Linked DNA regions of Saccharomyces cerevisiae S288C. Changing the gene in region 3 together with the main gene of any one other region gives a genetic interaction. Each region holds a gene or a part of one and is shown on either strand. Other genes may lie near its edges.

What was found. A genetic interaction does not mean that the proteins touch.
Region 1: mutations in HPT1 (region 3) and CEM1 together harm fitness more than expected from each alone (negative genetic interaction), as found in Saccharomyces cerevisiae (2 studies listed by BioGRID).
Region 2: mutations in HPT1 (region 3) and ADE17 together harm fitness more than expected from each alone (negative genetic interaction), as found in Saccharomyces cerevisiae (3 studies listed by BioGRID).

What each region holds. Positions count from the first base shown.
Region 1 is NC_001137.3:277,687-281,248, reverse strand, and holds CEM1 (fatty acid synthase CEM1), read left to right. Parts: upstream 1-1,622; coding exon 1,623-2,951; downstream 2,952-3,562. Other genes in the region: glycerol-1-phosphatase GPP2, read left to right, coding at 567-1,319; FCY22 (purine-cytosine permease), read right to left, coding at 3,085-3,562. UniProt on the Saccharomyces cerevisiae protein: Possibly involved in the synthesis of a specialized molecule, probably related to a fatty acid, which is essential for mitochondrial respiration. Is essential for oxygen uptake and the presence of cytochromes A and B.
Region 2 is NC_001145.3:506,891-511,353, reverse strand, and holds ADE17 (bifunctional phosphoribosylaminoimidazolecarboxamide formyltransferase/IMP cyclohydrolase ADE17), read left to right. Parts: upstream 1-2,073; coding exon 2,074-3,852; downstream 3,853-4,463. Other genes in the region: NCW1 (Ncw1p), read right to left, coding at 1-39; YMR122C (uncharacterized protein), read left to right, coding at 279-653; 60S ribosomal protein eL15 RPL15B, read left to right, coding at 1,006-1,620; putative ubiquitin-protein ligase ASI1, read right to left, coding at 4,147-4,463. UniProt on the Saccharomyces cerevisiae protein: Bifunctional enzyme that catalyzes the last two steps of purine biosynthesis.
Region 3 is NC_001136.10:1,268,356-1,271,374, forward strand, and holds HPT1 (hypoxanthine phosphoribosyltransferase), read left to right. Parts: upstream 1-1,712; coding exon 1,713-2,378; downstream 2,379-3,019. Other genes in the region: UTP5 (Utp5p), read left to right, coding at 1-1,047; URH1 (trifunctional uridine nucleosidase/nicotinamide riboside hydrolase/nicotinic acid riboside hydrolase), read left to right, coding at 2,708-3,019. UniProt on the Saccharomyces cerevisiae protein: Converts guanine to guanosine monophosphate, and hypoxanthine to inosine monophosphate. Transfers the 5-phosphoribosyl group from 5-phosphoribosylpyrophosphate onto the purine.

The sequences.
Region 1 (3,562 bases), on a different chromosome or scaffold from region 3:
TATACCCTCTCCCATTAGATATTACCGTAGCGTACGTATTTGGCCCTGTCCTTTGGGGTTTGGCCTTCTCAAGTATTTTGGCACCTCGCCCTGAACGAAAAGCTGGCACTTTGTCCCCAGCCAAACTCTTCTCTCTAATATCGTCTTTAACGACAAGGTAAAAAGATTTCTGCAGTGTTCCGTCTGCGTCATCATCTGTGCCCCACAATCCGCGGCGTTTCCGTGTAAGCCGTCAAGTGAGGACTTTTCGGATGCTGAAAGAAAGTACGCTCGGAAAAACTACATAGCTGCCCCCCTAAACGGGCCTCCCACGTGACGTAAAGTAGGAATAATAAGAAGCCAAGTCGTTTCTTTTTATTCTAAATAAGTTCGTTTCTTTTGATGTTGTCATTTTCAGAAATATATATATATGCGCTTAAATACACAAGCTAAAACAACATAGTTAGGATTGCCAAAGGTTTCTTTTCTACTCAATTTGGTCTAACTCTTTTCATATTAATAGCGCCAACCAGCTAGTGTTTACCAGATCAGTGGAAAAACATAAAACAATAAAAACAATATTCGGAATGGGATTGACTACTAAACCTCTATCTTTGAAAGTTAACGCCGCTTTGTTCGACGTCGACGGTACCATTATCATCTCTCAACCAGCCATTGCTGCATTCTGGAGGGATTTCGGTAAGGACAAACCTTATTTCGATGCTGAACACGTTATCCAAGTCTCGCATGGTTGGAGAACGTTTGATGCCATTGCTAAGTTCGCTCCAGACTTTGCCAATGAAGAGTATGTTAACAAATTAGAAGCTGAAATTCCGGTCAAGTACGGTGAAAAATCCATTGAAGTCCCAGGTGCAGTTAAGCTGTGCAACGCTTTGAACGCTCTACCAAAAGAGAAATGGGCTGTGGCAACTTCCGGTACCCGTGATATGGCACAAAAATGGTTCGAGCATCTGGGAATCAGGAGACCAAAGTACTTCATTACCGCTAATGATGTCAAACAGGGTAAGCCTCATCCAGAACCATATCTGAAGGGCAGGAATGGCTTAGGATATCCGATCAATGAGCAAGACCCTTCCAAATCTAAGGTAGTAGTATTTGAAGACGCTCCAGCAGGTATTGCCGCCGGAAAAGCCGCCGGTTGTAAGATCATTGGTATTGCCACTACTTTCGACTTGGACTTCCTAAAGGAAAAAGGCTGTGACATCATTGTCAAAAACCACGAATCCATCAGAGTTGGCGGCTACAATGCCGAAACAGACGAAGTTGAATTCATTTTTGACGACTACTTATATGCTAAGGACGATCTGTTGAAATGGTAATCCTCTAAAATCGAACATATTTGAGTAATAATTCTCAGATACAGTCCTATTCTATATTCGCCACAAAACAAGTAATGATGCTAAAAAACGACACATTTATAAAATCACATCTTATTGATTAAATAAATACGTAGATAGATTTTTTTTTTTAAAACATATAGTGTGCTATTATTTCTGACTCTGTCTCATCTCAGAAAAATAAATGATAAAAAAGGAAGTAAAATCCTTAAACGTTATCAGGTTATTAGCAACTTGAAAGTGACAGGAGCCACAACGGATTAAAATTTAATTTCTAGTAAAGAAATGTCAAGAAGAGTGGTTATCACAGGATTGGGCTGTGTAACGCCGTTGGGAAGATCATTAAGTGAGTCATGGGGGAATCTGCTCTCTTCCAAAAATGGACTCACACCAATCACATCTTTGCCCAACTATAATGAGGACTACAAACTCAGAGAAAAAAGTATCCCATCAACGATAACAGTGGGGAAGATTCCAGAGAATTTTCAAAACGAAAATTCAGCCATCAATAAACTGCTGTTCACTAGCCAGGATGAGAGAAGAACCTCAAGCTTTATCAAGCTAGCACTACGTACAACTTATGAAGCGCTTCACAATGCTGGTCTCTTGAACCCAAATGATATAACCATCAATACATCTCTGTGCAATCTGGATCACTTTGGTTGCCTGATAGGTTCTGGTATAGGATCCATTCAAGACATATACCAAACTTCTCTACAATTCCATAACGACAATAAAAGAATAAATCCATATTTCGTCCCTAAAATCCTTACAAATATGGCAGCTGGTAATGTTTCCATCAAGTTTAACCTTAGAGGATTATCCCATAGTGTTTCCACAGCATGCGCAACAGGTAATAACTCCATTGGCGATGCATTCAATTTTATTCGGTTAGGCATGCAAGACATCTGTGTCGCCGGTGCAAGTGAAACGAGTTTGCATCCGTTAAGTTTAGCAGGTTTCATCAGAGCAAAGTCGATTACTACAAACGGGATCTCTAGACCCTTTGATACACAACGTTCTGGATTCGTACTTGGTGAAGGATGCGGAATGATTGTCATGGAATCGCTAGAACATGCTCAAAAGAGAAATGCAAACATAATTTCTGAGCTCGTGGGCTATGGTTTAAGCAGTGATGCCTGCCATATTACCTCCCCTCCTGCTGATGGAAATGGTGCCAAAAGAGCAATAGAGATGGCTCTAAAAATGGCTAGATTAGAACCAACTGATGTTGACTACGTCAATGCACATGCTACATCAACTTTACTAGGCGATAAAGCAGAGTGTCTGGCAGTAGCCTCAGCACTCTTACCAGGAAGATCCAAAAGCAAGCCACTGTACATATCCAGTAACAAAGGTGCAATTGGCCATCTTTTAGGTGCAGCTGGCGCCGTAGAAAGTATATTTACAATTTGTTCCTTGAAGGATGATAAGATGCCGCATACCTTAAACCTGGACAATGTTCTGACTCTAGAAAATAACGAGGCCGATAAGCTACATTTCATAAGAGACAAACCTATTGTGGGAGCTAATCCGAAGTACGCATTATGCAACAGCTTCGGATTTGGAGGAGTTAACACATCTCTTCTCTTCAAGAAATGGGAAGGGAGTTAATATTATTAAACTTATATATATATCCCATTATAATCGTTTTTGAATTATATGCTATCTATTCGAATGTCGAGATTTATCCATTAAAACCAATCATTTCAATGATTAGCAAAAATATTAATCAATTAACATTTAGTCATCGACCGAAATATTTGAGTTCTAAAGGTCTTACAATGTTATAGATGATGAACGCCCAACTTCCGCCTAACTCGAACCCAATGTCACCGCCGTACTCTCCGATCAAACGACTGATCTCACCAACCCAATAAGTTTGGCACATACCCAACGCTACTCCAAAGGCACCAGCAATTAAGGCAGCAGTACCTGCGATACCGATAGGTAGATGCTCCCAATTATCCCAATCATCAATATTGTAAGCACTGAAGGAACGCCTATAAATAAAATGCTCTGAACATGCAATGGCAATATAAATAGCCAAATAATAACCAATGGAATCCATAAAATTCTCCATAAAGCCGTCAAAGTAATAGGTAGCAGGGATGGAAATACCTAAAGTGGCAGCATTACCTGCCATTGTCCAGACTACTCTTGGTATTTTAGCCAAAGGTGCCCACAAAGCTTGAGCGGATAAAGCGACAGTGTACATTCCAGGG
Region 2 (4,463 bases), on a different chromosome or scaffold from region 3:
GGAGGAAGCGGAAGCGGAAGTGGAAGTACTGCTGGCCATTTTTATTCAGGTTATTTGCGATTAGGTTGGGGTTTGTGTTTGATGGAGACCTCAGTAATTAACAGTACATTCTGAGAGCGGCAAACAGAATTCTGCCTTAAATTCAGATCGTTTATATACTTTTTTTTCACTTTTTACGCTCGAGACACCATAACCCAAAAATAGATCAAACTAGCCATTGTATTTTTCACCAATATGGCAATGTGATTTCCGCATTAGGCAATACTGTGAAAGACTCTATGCTACGTCAGTTCGGAGGCGTGTTTCGCAATCTTCGCGTTCCAGAACGCACCAACGCGTTGTTATTTGCGCAGCACAAGGGGGACGAGAGACATTCTGGCCAACGTGCATTCGACGGAAGTAAATTTCGGCTGGAGGCTAAGCGCTGCTTTACTGCAATTTGCATCATTACGGTGGCTCGCAGGGATAGATTGGGCGTACTGGTTTGTGGCAAAAACACCGCCTCCACGCTACCTTATTTGCCAGCCAACCGCATATTCAGGTTGCCAAAGGTACAGATCAGGAAAATGTTTCCCATTGGATGCGCAACTTTCCTTAGTAGGGAATATATAATCACTGCATTGCTGGTTTCGTACTGCCATCTTTGCGTTTAAAGTATAACCAAATTAATAAAGCGACTACGCCGCTATCCAAAACAGGCTCCTCCAGCTCCTTTAAGGAAACAAACGTCTTTTTTCTTTACTCTTATTTTTTGCACCGATTGCTAGAATACTTCTCCAATCTCTTCAAATGATGATACAAACATGTAGTCAGTAGAGATGTATCTGTCTTGATGCTCCATATGTCGTTACCCGGAAAACATCTTTCTTGTTCCTTTCGATACTTTTCCACGTTTTCAATTAACCGGAGCCATTGATAATTTCATTCACTCTTGAGAAGTTAGCGGCAATAGTAATCGGCGAAAGCTACCGTAAAGACAGTCACAAATTACCTACCACACAAGCAATGGGAGCCTACAAATATTTAGAAGAATTAGAAAGAAAGAAGCAATCTGATGTTTTGAGATTCTTGCAAAGAGTCAGGGTCTGGGAATACAGACAAAAAAATGTCATTCACAGAGCCGCTAGACCAACTAGACCAGACAAGGCTAGGAGACTAGGCTACAAAGCCAAGCAAGGTTTCGTTATCTACCGTGTCAGGGTTAGACGCGGTAACAGAAAGAGACCTGTTCCAAAGGGTGCTACTTACGGTAAGCCAACTAACCAAGGTGTCAATGAATTGAAATACCAAAGATCCTTGAGAGCTACCGCTGAAGAAAGAGTTGGCCGTCGTGCTGCTAACTTGAGAGTCTTGAACTCCTACTGGGTCAACCAAGACTCTACTTACAAGTACTTCGAAGTTATATTGGTTGATCCTCAACACAAGGCTATCAGAAGAGATGCTCGGTACAACTGGATCTGCAATCCCGTCCATAAGCATCGTGAAGCTAGAGGCTTGACTGCCACCGGTAAGAAATCCAGGGGTATCAACAAGGGACACAAATTCAACAACACCAAGGCCGGCAGAAGAAAGACCTGGAAAAGACAAAATACTCTGTCGTTATGGAGGTATAGAAAATGAAATAGTTAGAACCGTATATAGATCAATAATAATGCACTATGAACATTTTTTCAACCTGATTACTTCATCGTTCCTTTTCTTCGACTTATTTTTTTTTTATTATTCTTCGCTCTTTGGCAGCATACGCAATTTGAATTTGCAGTTTTTGACTCTTTTTTCCTTAGCGGAACGAACAATATTAATCATGCCAACTAAGTCATTGCAGAAGTCAACTTATCATTTATAAAGAAGATCCTACCCTACAATGTGTGTACCCTGATGTGCCCAGAAATGAATTGACTCCTCTCATAACTTGTTAATATTCGGATGTGCATATCACGTTCGGATCTATGTATATAAATGTACGCTCGTTTTAACCTTTAGTGTAGTACCTAAAATCTTTCTTACCAGCAACTAATAGCCCTTGAAGTAGTTTTGCTAGCTTGGACATCAAAGCACATATCACCATCAAATATGGCCAATTACACAAAAACCGCAATCCTATCCGTCTATGACAAGACAGGTCTACTTGATTTAGCCAGAGGCCTCATCGAGAAGAACGTTCGTATTCTCGCCTCCGGTGGTACTGCTCGTATGATTCGTGACGCTGGTTTTCCAATCGAAGACGTTTCTGCTATCACACATGCCCCAGAAATGTTGGGAGGTAGAGTGAAAACTTTACATCCTGCCGTTCATGGTGGTATCCTTGCTAGGGACATCGATAGCGATGAGAAAGACTTGAAGGAACAGCACATTGAAAAAGTCGATTATGTCGTTTGTAACCTATACCCATTCAAAGAAACTGTTGCTAAGGTGGGTGTGACTATTCCAGAAGCAGTAGAAGAAATTGATATTGGTGGTGTTACTCTATTAAGAGCAGCTGCTAAGAACCATGCTAGAGTCACTATTTTATCTGATCCAAAGGACTACTCCGAATTTTTAAGTGAATTATCCAGTAATGGTGAAATCTCTCAAGATTTGAGAAACAGATTGGCATTAAAGGCTTTCGAACACACTGCCGATTATGATGCTGCAATTTCAGATTTCTTCAGGAAACAATACTCTGAAGGTCAAGCTCAAATTACTCTACGTTATGGTGCCAATCCACACCAAAAGCCGGCTCAAGCTTACGTCAGTCAACAAGACAGTTTACCTTTCAAAGTCCTATGTGGTTCACCAGGTTACATTAATTTGTTGGATGCTCTAAATTCCTGGCCCCTGGTTAAGGAATTATCCGCCTCGTTGAATTTACCAGCAGCAGCATCGTTCAAGCATGTATCACCAGCTGGTGCCGCTGTGGGTATCCCATTGTCTGATGTTGAAAAGCAAGTTTATTTTGTTGCCGACATTGAAAACTTATCTCCCCTGGCATGTGCCTATGCTAGGGCCCGTGGTGCTGATAGAATGTCTTCCTTTGGTGATTGGATTGCTCTTTCCAACATAGTTGATGTTCCAACAGCTAAGATCATATCTAGAGAAGTTTCTGATGGTGTTATTGCCCCAGGTTATGAGCCTGAGGCGTTGGCCATTCTATCCAAGAAGAAGGGAGGTAAGTACTGCATATTACAAATTGATCCAAACTATGTTCCAGAAGCTGTCGAAAGAAGACAAGTATACGGTGTGACTTTGGAACAAAAGAGAAACGATGCCATAATCAATCAATCAACTTTCAAAGAAATTGTTTCTCAAAATAAAAATCTCACTGAACAAGCCATAATTGATTTAACGGTTGCCACCATTGCTATTAAATATACTCAATCTAATTCCGTATGTTATGCTAGAAATGGTATGGTTGTCGGATTGGGTGCAGGTCAACAATCTAGAATCCATTGTACAAGATTAGCTGGTGATAAGGCTGATAATTGGTGGTTCAGACAACACCCTAGAGTTTTGGAGATTAAATGGGCTAAAGGCGTCAAGAGACCAGAAAAATCTAATGCTATCGATTTATTCGTAACCGGCCAAATTCCAACAGAAGAACCAGAATTGTCTGAATACCAATCGAAGTTCGAGGAGATTCCAAAACCATTTACTCCAGAAGAAAGAAAGGAATGGTTGAGTAAATTAACCAACGTTTCTTTGTCATCGGATGCATTTTTCCCATTCCCAGACAATGTTTACAGAGCAGTTAAATCCGGTGTCAAATACATTGCCGCTCCATCTGGTTCTGTCATGGACAAGGTTGTATTTTCAGCTGCCGATTCATTCGATTTGGTTTACGTAGAGAACCCAATCCGTTTGTTCCACCATTAGATGGCATGAGTTCAGAGTCAATATGCCATAAATACAGAAATGACGGCAAATCGATGTATAGTTTATTCTTTCCTCCTCTAATGATATAATCGCCACTGACACTTTTATATATATACTAATGATACGATATGTTATAAGTACAATTTTAATTCGAACATTTCCCAAAGAAAAAAAACTTGATTTATTATTATGATGTTTATATGTGCAACACAGAAAGCTCTAGCTATAGTAATTAATGCTAGAGCTCCCAAACGAAAAACCTCTTTTAGATACCATGCAAAAGTTCTTAAACTATTATTTACTATCTGAAACAGGATGAACCTTACAGTACCCATGAACTTTACTCCTACAACATACGCAAGTGCTGAACCCACGTAAACCCAAAGAAATTCTGCAATCCTCGCAAATGGCAAAACATCGGCAGGGCCATAATACTGTATTTCTTTCATTGACTTTGCATACCGCGCAAGATAGATCAAAATCACTTTCTGTACCAAAAGTCTCATCTACTTCACTTAACTTTGTATCTAAGATAGACGCCCTTGTCAAAGTTTTATCTGACAGTAATTTTTGTTGAAGGATACGGCTAGTTGACATGATCCAATTATAAT
Region 3 (3,019 bases):
ATTAATAAAGACCTTTTGAACGTATCGTGGTTACAAAATGCTACTATGCCTTACTTCAAGAACTTGCAGTGGAGAGAAATCCCTAATGAATATACCGTCGAAATTTCCCTAAATTGGAATAATAAAAATAAGTCCGCCGATCGCGATCTACACGGTAAAGATCTTGCCTCAGCCACCAACTACGTGGAAGGTAATGCAAGAGTCACCTCTGGAGATAACTTCAAGCATGTTGATGACGCTATAAAGAGCTGGGAAAGAGAATTGACTTCTTTGGAACAAGAACAGGCCAAGCCCCCACAGGCCAATGAACTATTAACAGAAACATTTGGTGATAAGCTAGAATCAAGCACCGTCGCAAGGATTAGTGGGAAAAAAACAAATTTAAAAGGTTCCAATCTCAAGACTGCTACGACAACCGGGACGGTAACAGTAATTCTGTCGCAAGCACTACAATCAAATGATCATTCACTGTTGGAAACAGTGCTCAATAATCGTGACGAGAGGGTCATTAGGGATACTATCTTCCGTCTGAAACCAGCACTGGCTGTCATTCTCTTAGAAAGGTTGGCAGAGAGGATTGCAAGACAAACCCACCGTCAAGGCCCATTGAATGTTTGGGTAAAATGGTGTTTAATCATACACGGTGGCTATTTGGTTTCTATTCCAAATTTGATGTCTACTCTATCGTCGTTACATTCCACCTTGAAAAGGCGTTCCGACTTATTACCAAGGCTACTAGCACTGGATGCAAGGTTAGACTGTACTATAAATAAATTCAAAACTTTGAACTATGAAGCAGGCGACATCCACTCATCCGAACCAGTTGTCGAAGAGGACGAAGACGACGTTGAATATAACGAAGAACTCGATGATGCCGGCCTTATAGAGGACGGTGAAGAATCTTATGGCAGTGAAGAAGAAGAAGAAGGTGATAGTGACAACGAAGAGGAACAGAAGCATACCTCATCTAAGCAAGATGGCCGTTTAGAAACGGAGCAGAGCGACGGCGAGGAGGAAGCCGGATATAGTGACGTTGAGATGGAATAGAGGATATCATGCATAAAATGCTTTCACGCATCAGAATACAAAAATAATCTCTAGGCACATAAATACTTATATAGAGTTCACCACATAATGTAAGAAAAGAAAAAAGAAAAAAAAAGATCACGAAAGTATCCCACGCGAAGAAGATCTGTCAAAAGACCCCCACAATCGTTTATCCTTTTTGAACTGCATCTGGCATCGTTAACAGTAAGGCCATCTGGAACATCAAGCAAGCACTCCACTTTTACGTCACAACCATAGTTGGTTAACTAAGAAAAGACAGTACATATTTCCCTTCCGAGTCACTTATTTTTTTTTTCTTCTGAAAAAATTAATTAGATTAATTTCAATTAATATCATTTCCGCTTATCTGACTTCTTTCATTTTTTTTCTCTATATTTCGCGTTTACTAGGAAAGAAAAGGAAAAAAAATTTTTCCCCCTCCATCTGTCCCAAATCGGGTAGCGATGAGCTGCTATAGAATTTTCTATTTAAACATGTTTGATAAGCCCAATTTCCGTTAGATTTTGTTCCCCCTTCGCAGTTTGGTTTGCCGTAACTTTTTTATTTTAGTCTCCATCTAGCTGGAGTAATACGATGTAGTGCCTTGTAATCTTTCTTATTTTTATATTACCGTTCGTGTTCATTATATCCATTACGTTCCCATAATGTCGGCAAACGATAAGCAATACATCTCGTACAACAACGTACATCAACTATGTCAAGTATCCGCTGAGAGAATTAAGAATTTCAAGCCGGACTTAATCATTGCCATTGGTGGTGGTGGTTTCATTCCTGCTAGGATCCTACGTACGTTCCTAAAGGAGCCCGGCGTGCCAACCATCAGAATTTTTGCTATTATTTTGTCTTTGTACGAAGATTTGAACAGTGTAGGCTCAGAAGTTGAGGAAGTTGGTGTTAAGGTTAGCAGAACACAATGGATTGATTACGAGCAATGTAAATTAGATCTAGTCGGCAAGAACGTTCTTATCGTTGACGAAGTCGATGACACCCGTACCACACTTCATTACGCTTTGAGTGAATTGGAAAAGGATGCAGCTGAACAGGCAAAGGCTAAAGGTATCGATACTGAAAAGTCTCCAGAGATGAAAACAAACTTCGGGATTTTTGTTCTACACGATAAGCAAAAACCAAAGAAAGCAGATTTGCCTGCCGAAATGTTGAATGACAAGAACCGTTATTTTGCAGCTAAAACTGTTCCAGACAAGTGGTATGCATATCCATGGGAATCTACTGACATTGTTTTCCATACTAGAATGGCTATTGAACAGGGCAATGACATCTTTATTCCTGAGCAGGAACACAAGCAATGATAGACATATCATATCCTTCAGTAACTTGAATCATACAGCAGAATTTGTACAATAGACAACGCATATAACTGCGACCATATGTATACGTATAACTAATTATTATCTCAAAGTTTATTCCCTTAGCCTCACCGGTAACCTGTGAGGCGCGATTACGTTTTCCCTCTGTTCACCACCACGTAACGCGATATTTGACACATACGTGACAACTACTTTTGATGGAATCTGCTGATTTTTTTACCTCACGAAACTTATTAAAACAGATAATTTCCCTCATCTGCAAGGTTGGGGAAGGGTTGGACAGCAATAACCAGCGACTGTTTGAAGAAAAGATGACTGTTAGTAAAATACCCATATGGCTAGATTGTGATCCTGGTCATGATGATGCCATAGCCATTTTATTAGGCTGTTTCCATCCAGCTTTCAATCTTCTAGGAATCAGCACGTGTTTTGGTAACGCACCGCCAGAGAATACTGACTACAACGCCCGTTCTCTTTTGACTGCGATGGGCAAAGCACAAGCGATTCCAGTTTATAAAGGCGCACAGAGACCTTGGAAAAGGGAACCTCATTATGCTCCTGACATTCATGGTATATCAGGTTTAGACGGCACTTCTTTGCTACCTAAGCCAACATTTGAGGCA